Linked DNA regions of Saccharomyces cerevisiae S288C. The gene in region 4 interacts genetically with the main gene of each other region. Each region holds a gene or a part of one and is shown on either strand. Other genes may lie near its edges. The genes, in order: CPR7, ERG13, RAX1 and LCB5.

What was found.
Region 1: mutations in LCB5 (region 4) and CPR7 together harm fitness more than expected from each alone (negative genetic interaction), as found in Saccharomyces cerevisiae (2 studies listed by BioGRID).
Region 2: mutations in LCB5 (region 4) and ERG13 together harm fitness more than expected from each alone (negative genetic interaction), as found in Saccharomyces cerevisiae (3 studies listed by BioGRID).
Region 3: mutations in LCB5 (region 4) and RAX1 together harm fitness more than expected from each alone (negative genetic interaction), as found in Saccharomyces cerevisiae (2 studies listed by BioGRID).

Annotation. Positions count from the first base shown.
Region 1 is NC_001142.9:486,641-494,895, forward strand, and holds CPR7 (peptidylprolyl isomerase CPR7), read left to right. Parts: upstream 1-4,440; coding exon 4,441-5,622; downstream 5,623-8,255. Other genes in the region: Arf family guanine nucleotide exchange factor GEA1, read right to left, coding at 1-4,172; RAV1 (Rav1p), read right to left, coding at 5,738-8,255. UniProt on the Saccharomyces cerevisiae protein: PPIases accelerate the folding of proteins. It catalyzes the cis-trans isomerization of proline imidic peptide bonds in oligopeptides. Plays a major role in negative regulation of the heat shock transcription factor (HSF).
Region 2 is NC_001145.3:18,560-22,305, forward strand, and holds ERG13 (hydroxymethylglutaryl-CoA synthase), read right to left. Parts: upstream 1,977-3,746; coding exon 501-1,976; downstream 1-500. Other genes in the region: RSC9 (Rsc9p), read left to right, coding at 1-250; PGA3 (cytochrome-b5 reductase), read right to left, coding at 2,202-3,140; alpha-tubulin TUB3, read right to left, coding at 3,489-3,746. UniProt on the Saccharomyces cerevisiae protein: Hydroxymethylglutaryl-CoA synthase; part of the first module of ergosterol biosynthesis pathway that includes the early steps of the pathway, conserved across all eukaryotes, and which results in the formation of mevalonate from acetyl-coenzyme A (acetyl-CoA).
Region 3 is NC_001147.6:879,343-887,410, reverse strand, and holds RAX1 (Rax1p), read right to left. Parts: upstream 6,447-8,068; coding exon 5,139-6,446; downstream 1-5,138. Other genes in the region: ISW2 (DNA translocase), read right to left, coding at 1-2,897; carbamoyl-phosphate synthase (glutamine-hydrolyzing) CPA1, read right to left, coding at 3,277-4,512; YOR302W (uncharacterized protein), read right to left, coding at 4,569-4,646; BUD7 (exomer complex subunit), read right to left, coding at 6,736-8,068. UniProt on the Saccharomyces cerevisiae protein: Required for the establishment of the bipolar budding pattern. Involved in selecting bud sites at both the distal and proximal poles of daughter cells as well as near previously used division sites on mother cells.
Region 4 is NC_001144.5:663,105-668,407, reverse strand, and holds LCB5 (sphinganine kinase LCB5), read right to left. Parts: upstream 2,565-5,303; coding exon 501-2,564; downstream 1-500. Other genes in the region: Rab family GTPase YPT6, read left to right, coding at 1-164; VPS63 (Vps63p), read left to right, coding at 1-171; chaperone ATPase HSP60, read left to right, coding at 3,406-5,124. UniProt on the Saccharomyces cerevisiae protein: Catalyzes the phosphorylation of the sphingoid long chain bases dihydrosphingosine (DHS or sphinganine) and phytosphingosine (PHS) to form dihydrosphingosine 1-phosphate (DHS-1P) and phytosphingosine 1-phosphate (PHS-1P) respectively.

The DNA.
Region 1 (8,255 bases), on a different chromosome or scaffold from region 4:
ACCGTAGGATCATCTACATACTTGTTAAATACGTTAAGCACTCTCAAAAAAGTTTCGTTACTTGTTACGCCTTCCACAAGTTGACCCAAGAAGATTTTAGAAAGAACGGATAAAATGCTAGTAATTCGTTTCATCTTGACATCTTGGATTTCATCCAACTCAAAAATCGGTAATAATCCTGTCTCTAGTAGGTTATCCACCGCAACTTTTTCCGTACGTAGTTGACTTGCTCGAGATAACAGAATGTTCTCTAATGCTTGCAATGCTTGCATACCTAGTTCGTCACAGGGATTGAGGCATTGATGGGCGAGACCTTGAATAGCAGCTATAATCTCATTCTTGTTGAGTGCTGAATTACTCCTCCCAACAGTCGAAAGTAGGTCTGCAGTTATATTAATGGAACGACTAGAAAGATCAATAATAGAACGGTATGGATTGGATTCAGGTGCTTCACACCCATCCTCGACTGAATTTTCATAATTTTGTTCCCATTTTGTGCCAACGGCACCTGCACATGACATTTCATCAAGCAGACTTAATATGTTCATAAAGTTCCCATCATCTACAAAGATATCACCATTTTGAATGTATTTTTCCAAAAATGTGTAGACGGCAAATTGGCGGTCTTTGGCTGATATTAATATCCTTAAAAAATTCCAAAATTTTACATTTTTGAGAGCCCGCTCATTGTATTTTACGTCATTGAGATGTGTAAACAGATCATTTATTACTTGCTTCCCCCATTCACTTTCATAATATTTAGTATTGAAGATTTCATTTTTTACCAAAAAGTCGTGTTCTATTAAATCACTTAAAATGTCCCGTGGATTATCAAATCTCGAAACCAAAAACATTTTATACGAGGCAAGTCTTGCAATAGCCTCCTTGGAAAGGCCATCTAAATTCGAAATATTAATCATATGATCAGCAATTAGTGCTCCAAATTCTTGTCCATAAGAAGCCTCTGATATTAATATAATGGATATTTCCAACAAAAAGAGAAGTTCTTGTTCGAAATAGGGCGAATTTTCACTCGTTTTTTCAATCACAAGTGAAGAGAGAAGAGTTTCAATCATCTTAGGACTGACGAGTTGATTGTTCTCAAAGACTGAACTGAGAGGATGGCTAGCCTTAACGCACTCAAATGCTTTAATGGAAAAATCGATGTCTTCTTCCGAAGGTTCTTCATCGCCTTTCAAGTAAGAGGCGAAAGTAGACAGAAGGCTTCTGCTCATCTTTGCCTTGCGGATCGATATATCTGGATCTGGCAATGGTAGTTCAGGAAGTTTCAAGAGTGAATGAAAGTTTGTAAAAAATGGTAAATTAGGTTCCATCAATAAATTCTCGAATAATTTCAAAATGAGTTGCACAATCTGGTTCCATAGTCTGGTAGAAACAATGCTAGGATCACTTATTTCTTTAATGATTTGAAAGTACAATACGGTACATAACTGAGCCTTAAAGTTTTGTCCAAGTCTTATACTCTGGTTACTAACGGATATCTTCGACCCAGTGTCTTCGACGAATATCTCGACCAAAGGAATACTGTCAACATCTAGCTCCACCGCTTTTGCGCTACTTTGTGCCAATGTTGTCATTTCTCCCAGATGAAGTACAGTATCATTATATGACTGGTCAAAAGAAAAGTAATAGTTGATAAATGTACACTTACTAATGGCGTCCAAGATACGTAATGATATTTGATCACTGGAAGCAACTGTGAATATTTTGAATAAAGTCTTCAGGATAATATCTCTAACATTTGAGAAAATTGCTTTCTCATACTGAAGTATGTCTATTTGCGCTAACTTAGAAATAGGGTTTGTGAAATCTCTTTGCATCTCTGTCATCACAGATGTTGAGGATATTAAGTTATTCCAGGCATCTTCAAACCACCTTTCATTTCCATGATGTTCTTCAGGCATTACTATTTCCTTAACTTTGATGGACGTGTAAATTTTATGCAAATACCAACGAGGAAAATCTTTTCCATTGTAGCATCCTCGTAAATTGTTAGAGTAGTCATCAAAAGTCATATGGTCTTTAACCTGCGGGTTATGTGAATCGGTATTTAACATGATTATCGAATAACTTAACACAAACACAGAGTCTGCATCAGGCTGTACATGAATGATGTCATCTTCTGTCATTGACTCTGAGCCATTTTTTCCTGCTTTTTTATCCTCTAACTCCACTTTATCATTGCTTTGATCAGCAGAATATTTTGATGAAAATGCTTCAACGATTCTTTCAATCTGTTGAGATTCCCCTGGTAATCTGAATTTCGTCAGCAAAATTCTGATCGCTTCATCAACCCTTAACCCTTTAAAATCGAATAGATCTATAAATTCTTTTAACAATGAAGTTTTTTTCGGATCACAAAGTAATAGACCGATGGTTTTCTTATTTAAACGTCCGTTATTGAGAAACAAAAATGAAGCAATGTCTCTATTAGAATCCGAATCAATGAATCCTTTTTCAATTAACATTTGAATGCCTTTCTTTGCCTTTTCATTAAATGTTTCAACGCATAATATGAATTCAGTCTTTCTGTCTCTCTGTTTCAAAATATCAATTTCTTTCTGATTTTTTACGAATTCTGCCCTATCAAATCTCTGCAGATCATTGTATATATTTTCAATAAGCGAAAGTACACCTTCTAGGCAAATTGGAGGAATGTTGTTAGAGGTATTAACGGCCGCCGCTGGTAAAGAAAATTTAGTTAGCTCTTTTATAAAGTCAATCGAAAGATCCGACCTATCCAAATTACAATCGAAATTTACAAAAAGTTGCAAAAAGAAAGCGGGAGAGTGAATCCACAGTATTGAAAGTTGTTCAATAATTAATTCCCTGATTGCAGGTGGTTTTTGCTTACTAACGTCACCACTGATTGTGGTATCCTCTAGAATTTCGAATATTCTCCTTAAAGTCAGTTCAATCTGCATAGGCAAATAATCACCCAATATCACAACCAAACTCGTGAATAATTGTAAAGTTGCTTGCAAAAGAGAATACTGGGTAGAACTTTGTATAATGAATAAAACACTTTTAAATATTGGATCAGAAATTAAGCTGAATAACCGGGGATATAGAGGAAATTTGTCACCGGATATTTCAATGGCTGCATTGATTAACTGTAGAGATAATTTCATGGCCGAAGTTGTGTGCTTCATTCTATTCTCTGGCATAACCAGTGATAACAATAATCCAAGATAATCCTTTATAACTGTTATTCCGTAATTTGGCTCGACATTTTCGGCTTTCTCAGCCGTTTCCTCATCATTTTCCTGTTCCCTTATGACCTGTTGGACTGGCTTCTCATTTTTATTATCGTCTGCAACAGCACTGTCATCATCAGTGCTACTCAAATCGTTATCAGAGGTAGTCGTACCTATAATGTCATCCTTCAAATTATTGTCGGTGTAACTTTCATCATTGATATATTTTTCTGTTTTTGTAGGTGGATCTAGTAACTTCAACTTTGTAAATAGTTTAACGGTTATCCCTGCAATTGTAACTTCAGCCGTTTTCCTCAAAACCTCGCTTCTCTGCGTATTACATGCCAAGGAAAGTGTCGTTTGTAAAACATCGTAGATTATAGTATCGGAGAGATAGTCTCCAAAGGAAGAGGTTATAATATCGCGTAGTAATGTTACAACTTTTAATAAAACAGAGTCGTCCGAAATTTGCTTTGAAGCTTCAAATCTACAATGTGTAAGCGCAACAACGGTTTCCCTAACGGCAATTTGAATATCATTAAATGTTTTGTTTATGATTTTTAGTGTAAAAACTTTCTGCAACGAGTCCAGAGCCAGAGAAGTAGTATAACCCGATACTGAACTAGCGCTGACTATTTCTAAAAATGGTTTCAAAAGTTCCAAGGCGTTTAATGAATCTAAACCCTTCAAGTCGTTAATTTTTAGCCGCAGCTGTACTAAACCAGATATCAGAGGATCATGATAGCTAGAAGTAGGCAAATTGTGGAAGCTGTCAACAAACGAATCACTTTGACTCAAGAATATATCACTACCTCCGCCCAGCAACGCGGCCACACTTGTTTGTGATTTATCTCTGGACTGCTTGTTCATGGCAGAACAAAGATTGATGCACTCTTTGACAATCATCGTAGCTGGGTTCACGGCCAAAACAGTTTCCATTGGCACGTCGTGCATTTTGTATATGAAGCCGTATTAGTTAAACCTGGGCGCTTCTTACCAAAGTTGCGAATTAACTTAACTAAGATGGTTCAATTCTCTGTGTAAAGTATCCATATTAAAAGGTCTTAGTTCCAACATGTAAACAAAGAGATCTATATATTGTTTTTTTTCCAATGCGCTGAGTGATGAAGTGATTAGAAAATCATAAAAATGAGAAACTGCAAAGAAAAAAAAAGTCGTTATTCTGAAAGGTGTTCGGCAGCAACAACCTACATCCAACGCGATGATTCAAGATCCCCTTGTATATTTAGACATCTCCATTGATAAAAAACCAATTGGTCGTATTGTCTGCAAACTTTTTCGTGAGAAGGCTCCTAAAACAACAGAGAATTTTTATAAGTTATGCGCTGGTGATGTTAAGAGTCCTTTGAAGGATCAACAGTACCTGAGCTATAAGGGAAATGGTTTTCATAGAGTCGTTAAGAATTTTATGATCCAGGCAGGTGACATTGTCTTTGGGACACAAAAGGATTCCTCTTCATCGTCTGTTGGAAAAGGTGGATGTTCAATTTACGCTGATAAAGAGGAAGTGAAAACCGATGATGAATCTTTCTGTTACGGGAATTTTGAAGACGAAAACTTGGGAGAGTTTGTAGAACCCTTTACCTTAGGTATGGCCAATTTAGGTTCTCCAAATACGAACAATTCCCAGTTTTTCATAACTACATACGCCGCACCTCATTTGAACGGCAAGCATTCTATTTTTGGGCAGGTGGTTCATGGAAAATCAGTGGTTCGCACTATAGAAAACTGCAGGGTAGATTCTGATGGAGTCCCTGAATCAGACGTTAGAATCAGCGACTGTGGAGTGTGGGAAAAAACTATGGGTGTCCCGCTTTACAACGCTTCTAATGACCAAATTGGCGGTGACGTATACGAAGAATATCCAGACGATGATACACATTTCGGTGACGATGATTTTGGTAAGGCTCTTGAGGCTGCTAATATAATCAAAGAATCTGGGACGCTCTTATTTAAGAAAAAGGATTACTCTAATGCCTTTTTCAAATACAGAAAATCTTTAAATTATATCAATGAATACATGCCTGAACCCGACGTAGACAAAGAAAGAAACATCCAATTTATTAACCTAAAGATGAAAATTTACCTAAATTTATCTTTGGTGCTCTTTAATCTGGAAAGATACGATGATGCTATCATGTATGCTACGTATTTATTGGAGATGGATAACGTTCCTAACAGAGATCAAGCAAAGGCTTATTATAGAAGAGGTAACAGTTACTTAAAAAAAAAGAGACTAGACGAAGCTTTACAAGATTATATTTTTTGTAAAGAGAAAAATCCCGATGACGAAGTTATAGAACAAAGAATAGAATATGTCAATAGGCTCATAGAAGAGAATAAGGAAAAGACAAGAAAGAATATATCAAAGTTTTTCTCCTAATTAGTTACTTGTAAGGCTGAAATTTGAGATTAAATAACCCAATATGAAAACACTACATTAATAAGATGTAATTATTTTTATTTATAAATCCATTTATTTGATAAAAAATATGATATCATACAAAGTCATCTAGTAAGTTCTTGGTAATAGCAGATTTTTTTGGCTTCTGTGGCTTTTGTGATGAAAGATCATCTAATATGTCCTTAGAGAGTTTATCTTTCCTATTTTCTGAGTTGTCTGTTTCACCCACAGAGTCGTTTGGCGCTTTTGGAGTTAAATTCTCTTTATGCTGAGAATATGAAGGAGAGACGAACTCATCCAGTATACTTCTAGGTGCAGAAGAAGAACTTTGAGCGAGGGAATTTGAAGAAGTGCTATTTGGTGGTGGTTGCAAGAAGTCGTCTAATAAGCTATTTGGTAACTTTGGATTAGGTGACTCTATATCTGAAGCACTTGGCGAGCCAAACTTATCAAAAAGACTGGGCCTCATCCTAGCAGTAGAAATTGGTTCAGACGCCATGGCGCCAATAGCAGAATATGCTCTATCCTTGGTGGGGCTCTTTAATAGCTTCTGAACTGGTATGGAATTTCTTTCGATGAACTTCCAATTCTTCACAAGTGAAACCGCCAGGTAATTGCAACCCATTCGGCAAAGAATATCAGTAACTCTTAAGATCAGAGTACACTCGATTTTTGCTTCAACATTTAGAGATCCAATGAAATACTTCAAGTTTCTGTTTCTCAGGTGATTGTATAGATAGAGCAAAGCAGGGTCTTCAACAAGGAATGATCTGTTAACACAGACTTCCTTATCAACAATGCTTGAGTTGTTTTCTAAATCAATCGGAGCAGTCAGCAAAGCTTTAATAGCCACTTCCTGCTTTCTCAATTTCCAGTAAATGAAACTTGCTTTCCATCTATCATTCTCCTTTATTGTTTCAGGTAGCATTTGCGCTGTCAATAGCTCTCCCAACACGGGTCCATTATCACCTTCATAAACACGACATACACCGATTGCCAAATCCATATCATGCACTTGCTTGCAAAGAACGTTGACACAATCTTTTAGAGAGTCAGTTAAGAGAAAGAAAACTGCTGCATCCATATATCTATGCTTACTTAGCAGAACAAAAGCATTTTTGAGTGCTGCCGTTCTCCACCTCGGTACAGTGAAATCATTACTGATAAATCTAACCATCTTTTGCTGCTCAGGATGACCAATAGCCATCTTCCACAAGCTCAATAGTATCTGTTTTTTCTTCAACGCAAGATAAAAAATAGCACAACGGCTTGGATCCCTCTTATCATCTTTGGAAAATTCATATTTTGCAATATCCTCGAATTTCTTCACCAAGTCCTGCTCCTTAATCCAATAGGCTATTCTATATTCTCGAGCGCGATTCCATGAGGTTATGTGGCGGTCAATAGAAGATAATAATATTTCTTTATTGTCTGAGTGCAATGCCCAAGACACATCCCTCATCAATATGCTTTTTTGAATATTTTTATGTGATAAAAATAACTTCACGCCCAACAAGAACCTAACACCGTTGTAATCTACTATATTCTCATTTTTGGTGACTTCATCCACTGCTTCAATGACTGTGATAAGCGTGATCTGCTGGTGGCGGGTTAGATAAGGCAAAGTTGTTTTCGTTAGTTGCTCAGTAAGTGCTAGAGACACTGTCTTATTGAAACAGGGGTATGGATCAGGGAAAGATTCGACCGGATAGTCTCTATCTTTAGCAATAAAGTACTTTAATGGATCCATTCCTAGATTGGAATCCAAATTAGATACATCTTGCGATTCAAAGTCTAATTTTCTTAACGCTAAAAACAATCTTAATAACAGCTCCTTGACAAGTTGTAACTTATTCGCATAAATGGCTTGAATCAAAAATTGTGGATGATAAACTGGAAGTGGACCATTTAAAACACTACTTAAATGGAGAATATCATTTGATAAAATTTTTCTTGAACCAATTGATTGGTACGTAAATGGATCAGTCAAATCCAGAGATTTATCCTTGATGTAAAATTGATTTCCGGAAGCAACAACAAACGTGCCATTTTTCATCCATACGGAGTCACCTATATTATGAGCTGTATGTGCTGTGATATCAATTTTTTCAATAGGTAGGTAACTAGGTGTGTTGTTCGTGTAATCATACCTTAATTGAGTATAAAGTAAAGCGTATCCTGTAAATCCGATAGAGACAATGCTTTGGCCATATTCCGTGCTTGTCCAATCTATATCCTCGATAGGATTATGAAATGTTTCTTCGTATTCAAGAACTCCCCTGTTCAGGTCCCATAGTGACATTACTTTACCAGTAGAATTAACAATACATAACTTACCTGTAGATGATCCTCTAATACATGTACAATTCATTATTCCGGTGTTAATTTCACATGCCTTGATCCATTGGACATGCCTATCATTATAATTAACGATGGCTTTATACGTTCTGGTAAGACCTTTTTTAGTAATCAAAGAAATCAAAGGCCTGTTACTCACAAAAGTTTGATGTACAGGGTCAATAATGGAGATCTTGTATATGTCGTCACCATCGATATCTAATGAATCAGACTTTACTTCAAAAATACCACGTGTTAAAGAGACTTCAAAAGCT
Region 2 (3,746 bases), on a different chromosome or scaffold from region 4:
TTTGAATGACTCTAAGGAAATTACACCTGCAAGACAAAACAGCATACCAGAGGTCAAATTCCCTCAAGAACTCTCAGATGTTTCTAAAGTGGCCTGTACGTTTTTGTGCCTTTTATCCAACGACACGGATGATGGTGCTGGTTCCGCATTTTGTCAACGCATCAGGCCACTGGTTCTACATAAATTGGCTGATATTCCACCTTTAACATTAGCATTGTCTGAATACATGGAAAACACGTCGGGGTTATGAATGAGAAAAAAAATCGGTTGGGCTTAACTTTAAAGAAAAAAGTTGAGATTAGATTTATTGTGTTATAAATATAGATATACAATTCTTTATAAAAAAAATATATATATATATCATTGTTATTAAATAAAGAGTTTTCCTAGTATATAGATTAAAAAACTACTCTATTAAATGAGAGCTAAAAAAAGCAGGCTGCCAAAAAAATAAAGCATTTATGAAGGGGGTTCAGCAAGATGCAATCGATGGGGGAAGATTATTTTTTAACATCGTAAGATCTTCTAAATTTGTCATCGATGTTGGTCAAGTAGTAAACACCACTTTGCAAATGCTCAATGGAACCTTGAGGTTTGAAGTTCTTCTTCAAATGGGCATTTTCTCTCAATTCGATGGCAGCTTCGTAATCCTTTGGAGTTTCGGTGATTCTCTTGGCTAATTTGTTAGTAATATCTAATTCCTTGATAATATGTTGGACGTCACCAACAATTTTGCAAGAATATAGAGATGCAGCTAAACCGGAACCGTAAGAAAATAAACCAACACGCTTGCCTTGTAAGTCGTCAGATCCAACATAGTTTAATAGAGATGCAAAGGCGGCATAAACAGATGCGGTGTACATGTTACCTGTGTTTGTTGGAACAATCAAAGATTGGGCAACTCTCTCTTTGTGGAATGGCTTAGCAACATTAACAAAAGTTTTTTCAATGTTCTTATCGGTTAAAGATTCGTCATAATCGCGAGTAGCTAATTCGGCGTCAACTTCTGGGAACAATTGAGGATTGGCTCTGAAATCGTTATATAGTAATCTACCGTATGATTTTGTGACCAATTTACAGGTTGGAACATGGAAAACGTTGTAGTCGAAATATTTCAAAACGTTCAAAGCATCCGAACCAGCGGGATCGCTAACCAACCCTTTAGAAATAGCCTTCTTGGAATAACTCTTGTAAACTTGATCAAGAGCCTTGACGTAACAAGTTAATGAAAAATGACCATCGACGTAAGGATATTCGCTGGTGAAATCTGGCTTGTAAAAATCGTAGGCGTGTTCCATGTAAGAAGCTCTTACAGAGTCAAATACAATTGGAGCATCAGGACCGATCCACATAGCAACAGTACCGGCACCACCGGTTGGTCTTGCGGCACCCTTATCGTAGATGGCAATATCACCGCAAACTACAATGGCGTCTCTACCATCCCATGCGTTAGATTCAATCCAGTTCAAAGAGTTGAACAACGCGTTGGTACCACCGTAACAGGCATTAAGCGTGTCAATACCTTCGACGTCAGTGTTTTCACCAAACAATTGCATCAAGACAGACTTGACAGACTTGGACTTGTCAATCAGAGTTTCAGTACCGACTTCTAATCTACCAATTTTGTTGGTGTCGATGTTGTAACTCTTGATCAACTTAGACAAAACAGTTAGGGACATCGAGTAGATATCTTCTCTGTCATTGACAAAAGACATGTTGGTTTGGCCCAGACCAATTGTGTATTTACCTTGAGAAACGCCATCAAATTTCTCTAGCTCAGATTGGTTGACACATTGAGTTGGGATGTAAATTTGGATACCTTTAATACCGACATTTTGAGGTCTGGTTTTTTGTTCAGCGGTCTTTTGTTTTTTTAGTTCAGTCATTTGCAAGTTTGTATTGTGTAATTGTTGTTGCTTTTGCGGCCTAAGTCTTCCTTTAATACCACACCAACAAAGTTTAGTTGAGAGTTTCATGCTGCACCTTTTATAGTAATTTGGCTACGAAAATTGGCGAGGCACCCAAACAGTTCCGCCCGATGAGGCCGAATGGAGCCTACTTTCAACACACTCGTATAATTAATAGCCCGGTTCATTTTCGACACGATACCGCAGCCATGGAGATTGTGGGTATGATTACTCTATAGTATTATGTAATATTGTATGGAAAATTTTTCTATTGTATATACGAAGCTTATTCCGTTAAAAGACGAAGACTTGATCGTCGCCAGAACTTCTCGTTGAATTGACCTTCCAGCCCAGTTCTTTAGCGTATTGAAGGGCCAAGTTGTTCATTCCATCAGGTCCACAGATCAAGAGTCTGTTATCCTCCGAATATTCCGGCAGATACCTGTTCATCTGGTCCTTGGTGATGTAGCCGACATCTCCGGTCCATCTGTCGGATGGATAGTGTACCACGTAATGGACCTGGAAATGTGGGTATTTTTCGGCCATCTCATCCAGTTCGTCCTTCAATAGAATGTCATTTTCAGTCTCATTGGCATATAGCAGGGAGACTTTCGTCAAATCTTCAGGAACGGTGATGATTTCATTCAAGATCTGTAGGACTGGCGTGATACCAGAACCACCGGCTACGATACCTAAATGCTTGGAGGAATTTGGTTCGTAGTTCAAAGTACCTATTGGCCCCTTGAAATCCACGGTGTCACCAGAATTTAAGCCAGCGAAATATTTGGAGACTTTACCATCAACGTATGCTTTCACCACCAAATCCAAGTATCCACTTTCTAGTTTAGAACTGATCGGATTATAGTATCTGACCTCTTGTTTGCCGTCAATTGGAACGCGTACAGCAACATGATGACCAGCGGGAATGTCCAAGCTTTCCAGTCTTGTCTTCAACTTAAAACGATACAGGGCGGTATTCTTGGAAATTATGGTTTGATCTTCCAATTCTAACGAAGTCCACCTATCTGGATACAGTGATCTTCTTCTTTTGTAGGCAGAGTATGCTCTGACGAAGATGATCATGAAGAGAATGGGTAAACTCCACAGGATTTTCAATTCACCAGACATATACGTGGTGATTGCAACACCAACAACGAATAGCGCGGCAGGAATATAGATCCCGTGGACAGGTTCGTCTAGAATGTTAGTTCCTTCTATGTCTTCTTTTGACATTTTCTTCACGCGGTTCTTGGAGTGCTTCCTTTTTTGTGATAAGTTTGGGTGGCAACGAGATGAGCTCAAAACTCTTTGTTTTTTATGGGTATTTTTGTCTTAGAATATTTTCAAATTTTTCAATATTCCGCGGAACATAGGGAAAAAAATAAATTTAATAAGCTATTGTTCTAACTGTACACCTAAAGGTAAGTGAAAAATAATTCGATAATTAGAGGTATCTTTATTTGGATAGAATATGCATATATATATATAAGCGTATATATATATATATATATATATGTATATACATATGGACATTAAGTAAATATAAATCTATAAGTGGGTATCGGGATCAGAGCCACTTTCTTAGAACTCCTCAGCGTAAGAATCGGCACCCACTTCAATATAATCTCTTTCTAAGGCAGCTAAATCTTCTCTAGCTTCGGTGAACTCACCTTCTTCCATACCTTCACCGACATACCAATGGACGAAAGCACGTTTGGCATACATCAGGTCGAATTTCTGATCGATTCTCTTCCAAGCGTCCGCGATGGCAGTGGTGTTGGATAGCATGCAGACAGCTCTATCCACATTGGCTAATTCGGAACTTGGTATCACACTTGG
Region 3 (8,068 bases), on a different chromosome or scaffold from region 4:
AGAGTTTCCTGGAATTTCAGTTTTTCATTTTTTTTTTCACCAAGTTCTACATTATGTAAATACTTCTCCCACCCATTGATTTCCTTTAGTCTTTCCCAGAATATTTTTGCATACACTTCAACCTCTTCTGGTGTTTTGGAATCAATAGATTTCTTAATGTTTTCCATATCATCTCTACCGTATTTGGCGCAGGCGTTGATAAACGCCATAAAGTCCCTCTTATTCCAGTTAGTAAAGGCTTTTGATATCAATTCTTGCTTTCGTAATTCATCTTCTTGGGTAAAATCCGGTGCTGAATTAATCTTCTCTTGCTCCTCCTCAATCCTTCTTTTAAGTTCCTCATGGCCTTTATGACCTTCTGTATTAGCGGCATTTTTGTATTCTCCTTCTTCTTCTTCAGCATCGCTTCCTTCATTACGTATATCTCCCGTAATATCATAAGAAGTAACCTTATAGTTGACCTTTTTCTTGAAGTAAAGCTGTTCCTTTTCTTGTAAGGCATCCAACTCCTTGGGGAAGAACTGGAAATCTTGACCGTGTATAACCTTTGGAGCGCGGGGTGCTTTTGGCTGCGGAGTTTGCTTGCTTGCTGATTTAGAGCCACCACCAATAATTTCCTTATAATAATCGTCAACTGAATAAGTGGTTTGCTCTCTTCTTCTTTCTCTTCGGGAAGGATTAATCCATTCAACTACTTTGTCGTTGGATTTTTTTTGAAAGCTTTTACCATTCCATTCGTAAGCAGATTGGTTCTCGATCCCATTGAACTTTTGTAAGTCGTCAAGTCCTAAACTTTGGTATTTGGCATTTAGTTCTTGTGTCTTCTGTTCCCCCTTTTTCAAAATATCATCGATATCAGCATCAACAGTGACTTTACTTGCTTTCTTTTCAAACATATTTTTAGCGCCAAATTGAATCATATCCAACAGATCATCCTTTGAGTTACCAAGAGATGCAGTTTTCTTGCCCGTGCCCTGTTGGATAACCAACTGGTCTAGTCTCAGCTTTTGTGCGGCACGCTCAATGACTTTCTCTTCAATAGCATTTTCTGTGACAAATCTATAAACATGAACTTGTTTCTTTTGACCAATTCTATGCGCTCTATCCATTGCTTGTAGATCAGCTTGAGGGTTCCAATCAGAATCAAAAAGAATAACAGTGTCGGCTGTGACAAGGTTAATACCTAAACCACCGGCACGTGTTGTTAGCAAAAAAACGAACTTTTCAGAATTAGGTTTATTATACTCATCGATAGCTTCTATACGTTCTTCATGGCTAGTAGAACCGTCGATTCTGCAATATTCAAAATCTCTAAAATAGCAATAATCTTCTAAGATATCCAATAGTCTCGACATTTGACTGAAAATCAATACTCTAGATCCCTTTTCCTTCAGTCTTTTCAGTAACTTATCTAATATAATCATTTTCCCGGAATTGAAAATCAAATGTTCATCGGTAGTGTATGGAGGTCCAGGTTCTGCGCCTTCAAAAAGATATGGATGATTACAGCATTTCCTTAATTGCATAACAATATTCAGTAACCTCGTTTTGCCTTCTCTTTTTCCAACAGCACCGTTAACAGCGTCTATATCCTTCTCTAATAATGATTTATACCATTGTATTTGCATGTCTGTCATCCCCACGTAAACATTCGTTTCGATTTTAGGTAGCAAAGATTTTTCGACATCCGCTTTGACTCTTCTCAGTAAAAAGGGGTTTAGTACTGAGTGTAGCTGTTGGATTACAATTTCTTGATCTTGTTCCGAATTGTTTTGTTCGAACCATTCATCAAAAAGTTCAGAATCTCCAAATATATCAGGTAATAAGAAATTTAGCAGGGCCCATAATTCGTGTAGATTGTTTTGTAGAGGCGTGCCCGTAATCAATAATCTATTCTTAGAGTAAAATAATCTAATTATTTGAGATAACGCGCTTTGTTCATTTTTGATCCTGTGAGCCTCATCAATAACAATATATTGCCAAGCTAATCTTTTCAAAGCATTCTTTTCTCTAATGACCATTTCATAAGATGTAATCAATACATCAAATCTAGCTTCTAATATTATATTCCGTACTATATCAGCTCTTGTGTCTTTATCACCATGTAACACAAGGACATTGACGTTTGGAGTCCATTTAAGAAACTCTCGTCTCCAATTATCTAGTGTTGACTTCGGTACTATTATTAGAAAGGGTCCCTCGATTTGTTTGACGTATCTCAAATAACCTAGGAATGAAATTGTTTGTAAGGTTTTACCCAGCCCCATTTCATCGGCCAAGATACCAGATAGTTTGTTTTCGTGCAACGATATTAACCAGTTTAAGCCTTGAACTTGATAGTCTCTTAATTTTCCTGACTTGACGAAGGAGGGAGATTCTGAGACGAATATGTCTTCCTGATATGTATCTACAATCTCTTCTTCCTCATCAGCCATTAATTCAGCATCTTCCTCCTTTTCTGTTTTTCTATGGTGACGTGATGACGAACTGACGGTGCTGTGTGATTTGGAAAGTTTGTTTGCATCAGAATCTAACTGTTTTAAGAGTTTTTGAATATTTTTATCATGTTTTGCCTTAATTCCAATAAAATGACGGAAAAGGTCTGTGACGCCTAATAAATATTTGAATCTTTTGTACGTATCGGACTTGTCCTTTTGCTTGGCGTATTTTGGATCTACATCAAGTACGAATTTTTTCTTTCTTTGAGCCCAATATTCTGGTGGTCTATCTTCTACTGTATATATTTCTTTATCTGATAGCTCTTCACTTTGTCCGATATTATCATCATCACTACTGCCATTTGACTTTGAGTCGAGAGTATCGACTAAAACTTCTGAAGGTGACTCGCTTTTGCTATTCTTGGTATCACTTCGTTGCTCCTCTTGCTGGGTCGTCATGATCTGATTGTAAGTTTTCCTTTTGTTACGACTTAAACCAACAAGACGGGTATTATTGGAAAGTAAATAAAACAAACCACAAAGAAAGAAAACCGTTTGCACAAACTCCTTGAGTTATGCAAATATACTTATCAAAATTTAACTGAAGCTGAAAATTTTTGAGTCTGCTTTATTTGATTTTTTTTTTAGGATGGCAGGATGAAATTAGAGCCATTGTACGTACGTTACGTTTTTTTGTTCATTTAATTACAAGAAGCGCCCGTTAATTATGACAACTGCGAGTAGATACTAAGCAACGACGAGTAGCGCAAAATACCATGAACTGAATTGAATCGTATTTAGATGTACGTATGTGTTACGTAATGTATAAATTTTGTTTTTAGAACAACACTCTTTCCTTGGCCAACTTAGTAACATTTATACTCTGCAATCTCGATTTATCGGTACTGTATGTTACTTTTAGTGAGATTGAACTTTTTGCCTGAGATTGTAATTGGTATTTTTCTATATTATCGAAGAATTTGTCAAAAAGAATAGCTGTGTCTAAGGGACCACCTTTTGCCTCTGGGTGAAATTGGGTAGAAAATATGGGTCTTTGAAGGTGTATCATGCCTTCGTTTGATTTGTCGTTTAAATTAACAAAATAAGGTTTCCATTGGTCCTTTGGTAGGGTCTCAGGATCAACTGCATAGCCATGATTTTGAGATGTAATGTGGCACTGGCCGGTAGTCAAATCCATGGCAGGGATGTTGTGAGCCCTATTACCATATTTCAATTTGTGAGTAGAGGCACCGGAGGCCAGAGCCAAGAGTTGATGGCCTAGACAAATCCCAAAAATAGGGATACAGTCATAAACAGGGTTATTTAGTAATTCCCTGACGTTGGAAATTGTAGCTTGGCATAGTTCTGGGTTGCCTGGTCCATTGGATAAGAAAATACCGTCGAATTCAGAAGCAACATCTTGAATTCTGTAATCATAGGGGAAAACAGTTACATTGGCACCTCTTTTGACTAGGCATCTGATAATGTTTTCTTTAACACCACAGTCAATAAGAGCCACATTTGCCTTAGCCTTCCCAGGTAAGGCAGAGACGTGGAAAGGCTTTTTTGTGGTGACTTGAGCAACCAAGTTAGTTTTCATGGGATTCACGTAGGGGACAGGGTCATGATCAGCCAACGTAATACGGCCCAAAGAAGAACCTTGTTCCCTCAAGTATTGCACTAGTTCACGGGTGTCTACGCCAGTAATAGCAGCAACACCTTCTCTCTGACACCATTGTGCCAGAGATTCAACAGCGGTCCAATGCGAATATTGATAAGCATATTCAGCGACAACGATGCCGACCACATGTATATGCGGAGATTCAAAATACTTCAGTAAATTGTATTCATCGCGGGCTTCGCCGGATGGGACACCGTAGTTACCAATCAAGGGTTGCGTGAAGACTAATATCTGACCACGGTAGGAAGGATCAGTCATGGACTCTGGGTAACCAACCAGAGAAGTAGTGAAAACTGTTTCACCAGCAACAGATTTGTTTGCACCAAAAGATATACCTTCAAAGGAAGGACCATTTTGGATACAGAAAGTAGCTTTTGTTGCAGCGGAGGACATTTGAAATATTTTTAGGAGTGGTTTGTGATAGAATTTCTGATTATTAAGCAATGAAATTAGTGGGAGCTAGTTTTCCAGATGTGGTCAGATATGTAGTCTTGGCAGGTGTATTGAGAGTTCGATAAGCTAAACATATAATGTTTTTTTTATTTCAAATCTGCAAAAAGGGTATGTAGAAGAGTCGATTACCTTGTATTCTTTGCAGTATTTAAACAATTAGATGTTCGAGTGTATCTATGTGTTATAGTTCTGAAGAAAAAAAAAAAAAAAAAAAAGAAAAAGAAACGACGAGTCAAGAAAAGAAAAGAAAAAGGAGGGGCATGAAAAAAGAAATTGACCGAATAATCTAATGAACGTTGGATAGTTAAGTGTCTTACGAGAGAGCCTTATATATCATGTCATCGCCTTTTTTTTCCGCGAGAGGTGATAAGTGAAATCGCAACTATTTACTCATCATGAGGTAATGCGATGCGATGATGAGTCAAACACCCTTCCACGGGAAGCGCCAGCCGGCGCCCTCGGTAAAGCCTGCACTTAACGGCCCCTCGCTGTTTCTTGTACTTAGCGTCACGCGCTATGGAAATATGCGGTGCACAGGTGTTTTTATAGGGGGGTGATGGATTACATCATACACGACGGCCGGGAACACAGCTGAAAATAACTGTGAATGCGGCAGTGGCACCCACTACGAGAAGCAGACACCACAGTCCACGCTTACGTAGAAGCTGCCGAGTAAATGGGTGCTCTATGCGGGTAAGACGGCGCCTACCGCCGAACACCGCAAGTATCATTGGCACGTGATCGGTATCACTAGAAGCATCTCCTTCGTCATTGCCAGCGTTTTTGTGTCTGTGGAGAAGTCTCTGTGTGACGCCAAACCAGGAATACACAATGTCCACTTGATACATGCCACACACAATGCAGTAGCATCCCAGTGTAAATGGCACGACCGTAACGACACGGATTGCGCGACTATACGCCAGGAAGATTAGAACATATCCGATCCAAAAGCCGATGCCTAGCCAGAGCAAACCAAAGCCAATACGACTGATTGACGTGTGATTGGAGAATGGCGAGCGAGAAATGTGCGTCTGGCCTCGAGAGCGATTGCTTTTTTCGTTGGTGACGCCCACTGAGTGGAATCTCCAATCAGATATTTCATCGTGGATGTTGTGTAGTGCGACGCGGCTTAGAAATTTTGGGAAACAATCCATTTCTAGGAATTGGTAAGTTAGGTTTTTTAGGTCGTCAAAAATCTCAATGTCGTACTTTCGCTCGATTTGTACGCTTTCTATTATGCGGTTCCGCGTTTCCATGGGGATGTTGCTCAGGTACCGTTCGCTTTGTTCGGGCGATACTAAATAGGTGTTGCAGAGACCAACTGCGCTGTGCAGCAGTTGTTTTGTAGTTATCTGCGGTTTTCCGTCTTGTTGGGAGCGCCTTTTCATTATCTCGTCGACGATCAGCGCTACGTCTTCGTTTCTCAGGGCTTCTTGACCGATACCCGATTGGTGCTTCCAATCACCCAGCAATTCGTTTAATTTTGGTGAAAAGGGCACGTCTGGGCCGCTATTTTCTAAGAGTTTATCAGGTGCTTCCGGGTCTAGGTGCCCTTCTTCTATCAGTGCGTTCAGCAAGTCAAATGTAGCCGTAGATGTACTTCCATTCTGCTGTTGTTCTTGTGGAAAGTTGATTAATGATTTTCTTACCAACTCTATGTAGTTTTTGCAAAGTCGTGTATGTGTCATAAGGTCAACCCAAAAGTCCAGATAGTTGATGGCATATGGGAATTGTGAAAGAAATGTATAAAAAGTCCAGAGATCAACTGGCTGCGATGTCCTCTGTATTAACACTTCATACAATGTTGGCAATCGTTCACGCTGGATCATCTCGAAATTTTGCATACTGCTCACTTTGCTGAGCTCTTCCTTCATGATGAATGGGACGCTCTTGAACTTTCTTTTTGGCAGAAATTGTTAGAGGTCGTTGTGCACAATGAATTTCCCGTATGTGTTTTATTGATATTTTCGTTTTGCCCGCATTCTCGAAACACGAATATTTTTCCTCGAATGGCGGCGGGCGGCGAAGTTACATAACCAGCATTGCTCTGTATTAATGTATGCTGGGTTTTCTTTAAAGTGACCCAAGAGTTTGACACAACGTTGAAGCGTATCGCCAATTTTTTTTGGATTATATATACGTATTAATGTCTTTTTATCGTATTTATGCATCGTAGCATCCAATGGTGCAAGTAGTGAAGAAATTGAGCAAATTCTCCTGCACCAAGTTGAGAACAGTTTCTGGATATCTTGACGAGATTTCATTCGAAACTTTGGTCAGACTCATATCTTGAATAACCACACTTAAACAATCAAGTAAACTTATGGAAAATTCCGTATACCAACGGTGGTTCCAGCAGCATATCTTCACGCAAAGGTCGATAATGCTATTGTCTAGCTCTCTTATGCGTGAGCTTACTATTTCAGGGACCATGTCATGCGAATTAGGTGAGTTTATAAAATTTTTGACCCGTTGGCGTTCGTTTATACAATATTCCAGCAGTTTCCTCGCGCACCTTGATGAAAATCTCTGCGATAAACCGTTCTGGAAGGCCTTGGCGGCCTCAGGGAAATGGCCCAGTCGACGTGCACAAAGGCCAAATAACTCCCATTCGAAAGTCAACTTATTGTGGTTGTTATTCTGTGCATCCATGTACAGTTGTTCGGTTTGCCATAATGTATACATCTTCAGGTCTTCATATAAAAGCATGAAGAGGTTGTCTAACCATCGTTCACACAGCCGTTTAGCCCTCAGAGGCTGTTCTTCTTGTTTGTTAACGTCCTTTGGTAACGAAGATGATGATTTTTGGTACTCTTCTTCCATAACGAAAATGTTTGATCTGTACTTTAACAGATTTTCCCAGCCGGTGATCTGCACAATTTCTGTCAATAATCGGTATGCCAATTGGAAAGTAGATTTCAAGTTCGACGCAGCTAAATTGACCAGCATTGGATCCGCAGAGCGGTGTTCATTCTGAACGTCTTGTGGATTCAACGACGTCACTTCATCCAGTACAACGTCAATTGGCAATGGCAAATGAAGACTATTATTCGAAGGCAACGGAGCTACTCTTTTCAGTACGTATTTTTCCTTTAATGGAGACATAGGGCATGAATTCAGTATCAGTAAGGCATTTTCAATATCATTTAGCTTTACATACACCTTGGATAAAAGATACCAAGGTCTAAATTCACTGGGAGAACAATTGACTGCCTCTTGCGCTATGTTTTGCGCCAAGCTGTAATCCTGCCTTTTGTCTATCAAAAATTGCGCTTGTAAGCACAGTAATTCAGATTTATAATCCATGCGGTTATTAGTGTTGTTTATTATTTTATCCTGCGAAAGCATATCGTATGTGAGCTTTATTGCGTCTAATTCTTGATCACACACCAAAAAGATCTTGATTAGTATTATGATCGCCTCAGGGTTGTCGGTAGCCAGATTCTTCAACATTATTTCCGCCCTGCTAACATTACGAGTCAGCTTAACTATCTCA
Region 4 (5,303 bases):
TCAAAGCTTTATTCAAAAAGATTGCCAAATCGCTGCCTGAATTTCAAAACAGCGAGTCAACTCCTTTGGATAGCGAAAATGCAAATAGTGCAAACCAAAATAAACCGGGAGTCATTGATATTTCTACAGCAGAGGAGCAGGAACAAAGCGCTTGTCAGTGTTAGCACCTAATATTTCAGTTCTATAGGGCATAAGGAGAACTCTTTGTGTGCGTCATATTTTTTAGTGAACTACCAGCACATAATAATTGTACTGATAATATTAATAATAATCATAATCATAATGTACTTGACGATCTGATGTGTAGGAGCTAGTACTCACTAAACATGGTTGTATTAAAGAATGGTATTAAAACTTTTTATAAAGAAGTATGGAGTGTATAAAGTTATCAAACAACAACAAAAACAACAACAACGTAAAAAAAATATAGAAGAAATAGAAATGACATATTCTAGTTTTTGATTAATTGTTCAGTACGAAGGAAAAGATTAAGTAAAGTGTCACATAGAATCGAAATCTGTGTCCACATAACGGCCATTTCTCAGTAACGTCTTGCATAAGCGTGGCATAATTTCGACTTGAAGGGGCTCTAGAGGAAATTTCTCGCCATCGACAGAGAACAAGCCGTTCCCTAGCTTTGGTATTATCTTGTATGCCAAAATTTTAGAGTGTAAGACTTCCGGTTGTAAAACATGGGAACCCTTATCTAGTCCCAGCAGGATTGGTGCCATCCTCGTCAACGAGGTTCTTGCATCGGTGATAACCATATCCATTGTACCATCTGAAGGAAGCGCTGCCGGAAAGAATTTAGTGTCAGCAGCCACATATGGCATTTTACCCGTATAGAAGATACCTAGGTTGTTCGAAATATTAGGATCCAATCTTTCCCAGTCACTAGGGATACCTTCATCTAATGGATATTTTATTTTGAAATCTTCCTCTTTAATTTGATCAGCACTAGAATCTGCCAGATCACGAGATATCAAGTGGGAGTCTTCGTCATCCGCATCCGCATCTTCATCTTCATCTTCGTTTTCGGTTTCGTATTCATTTTCGTAATTGTAATTATCACAATCCTCGTTATCTTTGTTCATAGTAATATGCTGGAATTCTAACGACCCTTTATTTTTGTGTTCCAGGTAATGATTTTTTAACTCGTTTTTTGATTTGGCAGCATACTTTACATATATCTCACAAGGATATTTTTTTTTTTGTATGATATTGAAGGCTACACCCAATTCAAACCTTGCAGGTCCCATCCATCTAATAAATTCAGTGTTTATGTCAGTTTCTGCAATGAGACCATATGTTTGACTTAAAAATGATAACTTTGGGTGCTCTCTTGCATAAGAAGGCTGCGAACAACACATCAAATCAATTCTAGTCTCTATCGATTTAATTAAGCATAAAGTTGAGTACGAAGGATTGTTTGTCCAGTGGCAGGATACGCTCATTGCGTTACCTGATCCGCATGGAATTTCTGTAATGGCGATATTGTTGAATGCTTTGACATGATCAGGCCTTTGGTATAACCCATTGATCACCTCATGAGGAATGCCATCTCCCGAAGCGCAAGCAATAGTGTCATATTTGTCAATATCCATTTCCCGCGCGATCTCTATAGCATGACCAGGGTATTTTGTATAAACCACTTCTATGGAACACCGACTTGCTAATAGTAACGGCTTTGCCTTTGTCATAAACAGTTTTTTCGCCTTACCTTTACCACCAAACGGATTAATGATCACAAATATGGATTTGTTCCTTCTAGTGTTTTTGTAGCTTCTCTTTAAAATCTCCTCAACCAAGTCATCTTCTTCTTTTAAGTGAGAAGATGAATGGGGTTTATAGTCAATATACAATGAAACCCTTTTGGGTACAACGTCATGCCGTCTTGGCCTAGCAAATATAACCTCTACTAGTTTCGTAAAAGGAGATCTGGAAGTCAGGAGGCTACTACTACTGTTACTTCCTCGCGATAGCGAGTTGCCCTTCCTTTCTTTTTTTTGGGAAGACTCTAATTCATCAAGATCACACTTTTCACTAATGTTACTCATTGAGCTGCTTAAAGGTGAACTGGGTGATGAATTGGCATCATAATAATGCAGAGGTTCCTTTTCAATGTATCTGGCATCCAGAATTCGTCCATAGGGGATAACGGTGTTTGCTGGCAATTGACCATTCACCGAAGGATAATGAAGTTTTGGATTAGCAGAAAGATCATCTTTACTTGTATCCGTTGTCGATGTTTCCGATCTGTCTATTGTATCAGTATCGCTTAAACAGGTAACACAGCTAATTAGTGAAGCCGTTTCAAATATACTGTTGTTATCACTGTTGCTTTGAAAGCTAGTTCTACTGATGTTGCTTTGAAAGCTAGTTCTACTGATGTTGTCAATGCTGCTGCGACTTCGTTTATCTGCCATTCTATTTGCGTATGTGTAAGGACTTGATGGTTTTGCCTTGATCATTATTCCTTCCTCAGTCAGTATCGCTGACGTTATTTGCTTCTTCCTGGAATGGCGAGACCTGCCCTTACGTCTCTTTGAAGGTTTCAAAGTCATCTCTTTTGGCTTACTGTTTAAATCTTACACTATTTGTGGTTTTTTCGAGATAATATCAAGAGTCCTTTTACTCTTCTTTTCTTTCCTATTTTGCAACACGTATATACAACAGTTTATGCTGTAGTTATACTTTTTTGATTGTTTTTGTATAAATAGATTCGGCTCACGCAGCTTACGTTCCCTTTCTTCTTCGCCTGCGAAGGCTTTAACAAGGCCCGAAAACACCTTGATTTGCAAATCTAACTATGAATCTTGCAGAAAAGCGGTGGCAACTGAAAGGGAAAAAAACATAGATTAAAAGAAAGCAACATAGTAACATAAAGGAAGAGAAAATTTTGATGATAAAGAAGATGAATAATATACCTAATGCATCCAAATGTTCCTCCTGTTATACTATTGGGAATTATTGCGAGTGCATCCATTCGCGCAATGATCAAGTAGAACGCCAAGACTAGTTGTGCAAAGAAGTACAGTTGAAATTCCAGCCAGTTATGTCTCATCCCTATTCCACTGTTTTTGTAGGTATACAATGGTGTTACGAGCAATTGAAGCTGTTTATTGCCTGGTATTACCTCTGGAAACTTACTTTATAGCCGCCCATCTGTATATGTCATCATATACGGACCTCGTGGAATTTTCCAGAAAACCAAATGGGGAGGGTGACTTTAATTTTGCTTCGTTTTGCCCGGAGCAGAATCCAGACGGACATTCATGTATATATATTGAAGGAGACTAAGTTTTACATTCATTATGTAAGGTCGTGGTTGCGTCTTCATGCACTTCCTTGAATAATATAAGAAAATTCCCACGAGAAAACATCATAAGCAAAAAAGTTTTCAAAATGTTGAGATCATCCGTTGTTCGTAGTCGCGCTACTTTAAGGCCTTTATTGCGTCGTGCTTACTCCTCTCATAAAGAATTGAAATTCGGTGTAGAAGGAAGAGCCTCCCTTCTTAAGGGTGTCGAAACTTTAGCTGAAGCGGTTGCTGCTACTTTGGGTCCAAAGGGTAGAAACGTTTTAATCGAACAGCCTTTCGGTCCTCCAAAGATTACTAAGGATGGTGTTACAGTTGCCAAATCTATTGTGTTGAAGGACAAGTTTGAAAATATGGGTGCCAAGTTACTACAAGAAGTTGCCTCCAAAACCAATGAGGCTGCTGGTGACGGTACTACTTCTGCTACTGTCTTAGGTAGAGCCATCTTCACAGAATCCGTCAAAAATGTCGCCGCTGGTTGTAACCCTATGGATTTGAGAAGGGGTTCTCAAGTTGCAGTTGAAAAAGTGATTGAATTTTTGAGCGCCAACAAGAAAGAAATTACCACATCTGAGGAAATTGCTCAAGTAGCAACCATTTCTGCCAATGGGGACTCTCATGTTGGTAAGTTACTAGCTTCAGCTATGGAAAAGGTTGGAAAAGAAGGTGTCATCACTATCAGAGAAGGTAGAACATTGGAAGATGAACTTGAGGTTACTGAAGGTATGAGGTTTGATCGTGGTTTTATTTCTCCATACTTCATCACTGATCCAAAGTCGAGCAAGGTGGAATTTGAAAAGCCATTGCTATTGTTGAGTGAAAAGAAAATTTCTTCCATTCAAGATATCTTGCCAGCTTTGGAAATTTCCAATCAAAGCAGAAGACCTTTGTTGATCATTGCTGAAGATGTTGACGGTGAAGCTCTTGCGGCTTGTATTTTGAACAAGTTGAGGGGTCAAGTTAAGGTTTGTGCTGTGAAGGCGCCTGGTTTCGGTGATAATAGAAAGAATACAATTGGTGATATTGCAGTCTTGACGGGCGGTACTGTTTTTACTGAGGAGTTGGATTTGAAACCAGAACAATGTACCATAGAAAACTTGGGTTCTTGTGACTCTATTACCGTTACTAAGGAAGACACCGTTATCCTGAACGGTAGTGGTCCAAAGGAAGCTATTCAAGAGAGAATTGAACAAATCAAAGGCTCCATCGACATTACCACCACAAATTCATATGAGAAGGAGAAACTGCAAGAGCGTTTGGCCAAATTGTCCGGGGGTGTTGCTGTCATCAGGGTCGGTGGTGCATCTGAAGTTGAAGTTGGTGAAAAGAAGGACCGTTACGATGATGCTTTGAACGCTACCAGAGCTGCAGTTGAGGAAGGTATCTTGCCAGGTGGTGGTACTGCCTTAGTGAAGGCATCTAGAGTTTTGGATGAAGTTGTTGTCGACAATTTCGATCAAAAATTGGGTGTCGATATCATAAGAAAGGCCATTACAAGACCAGCCAAGCAGATCATTGAAAACGCTGGTGAAGAAGGTTCAGTTATCATCGGCAAATTGATTGATGAATATGGTGATGATTTTGCCAAGGGTTACGATGCCTCTAAGTCAGAATACACCGACATGTTAGCCACTGGTATCATCGATCCATTTAAAGTGGTTAGATCCGGTTTAGTTGATGCTTCTGGTGTTGCCTCACTATTAGCTACTACCGAAGTTGCTATTGTTGATGCCCCAGAACCACCAGCAGCTGCTGGCGCTGGTGGTATGCCAGGTGGTATGCCAGGAATGCCAGGTATGATGTAACGACCGCCTTAATTCAAAATTTATCTTTCGTTTAAATATGGTAATAATTTTATTATCTTGTAAATACAATGTGAAAAAAGTTGAGATTTTTAGGAATCACTTTTTCAAGTATAAAGAACTATATATGACTATGAGCTATTATATCTTTAAGTATGACTATATGTTGATAACTGAACAAA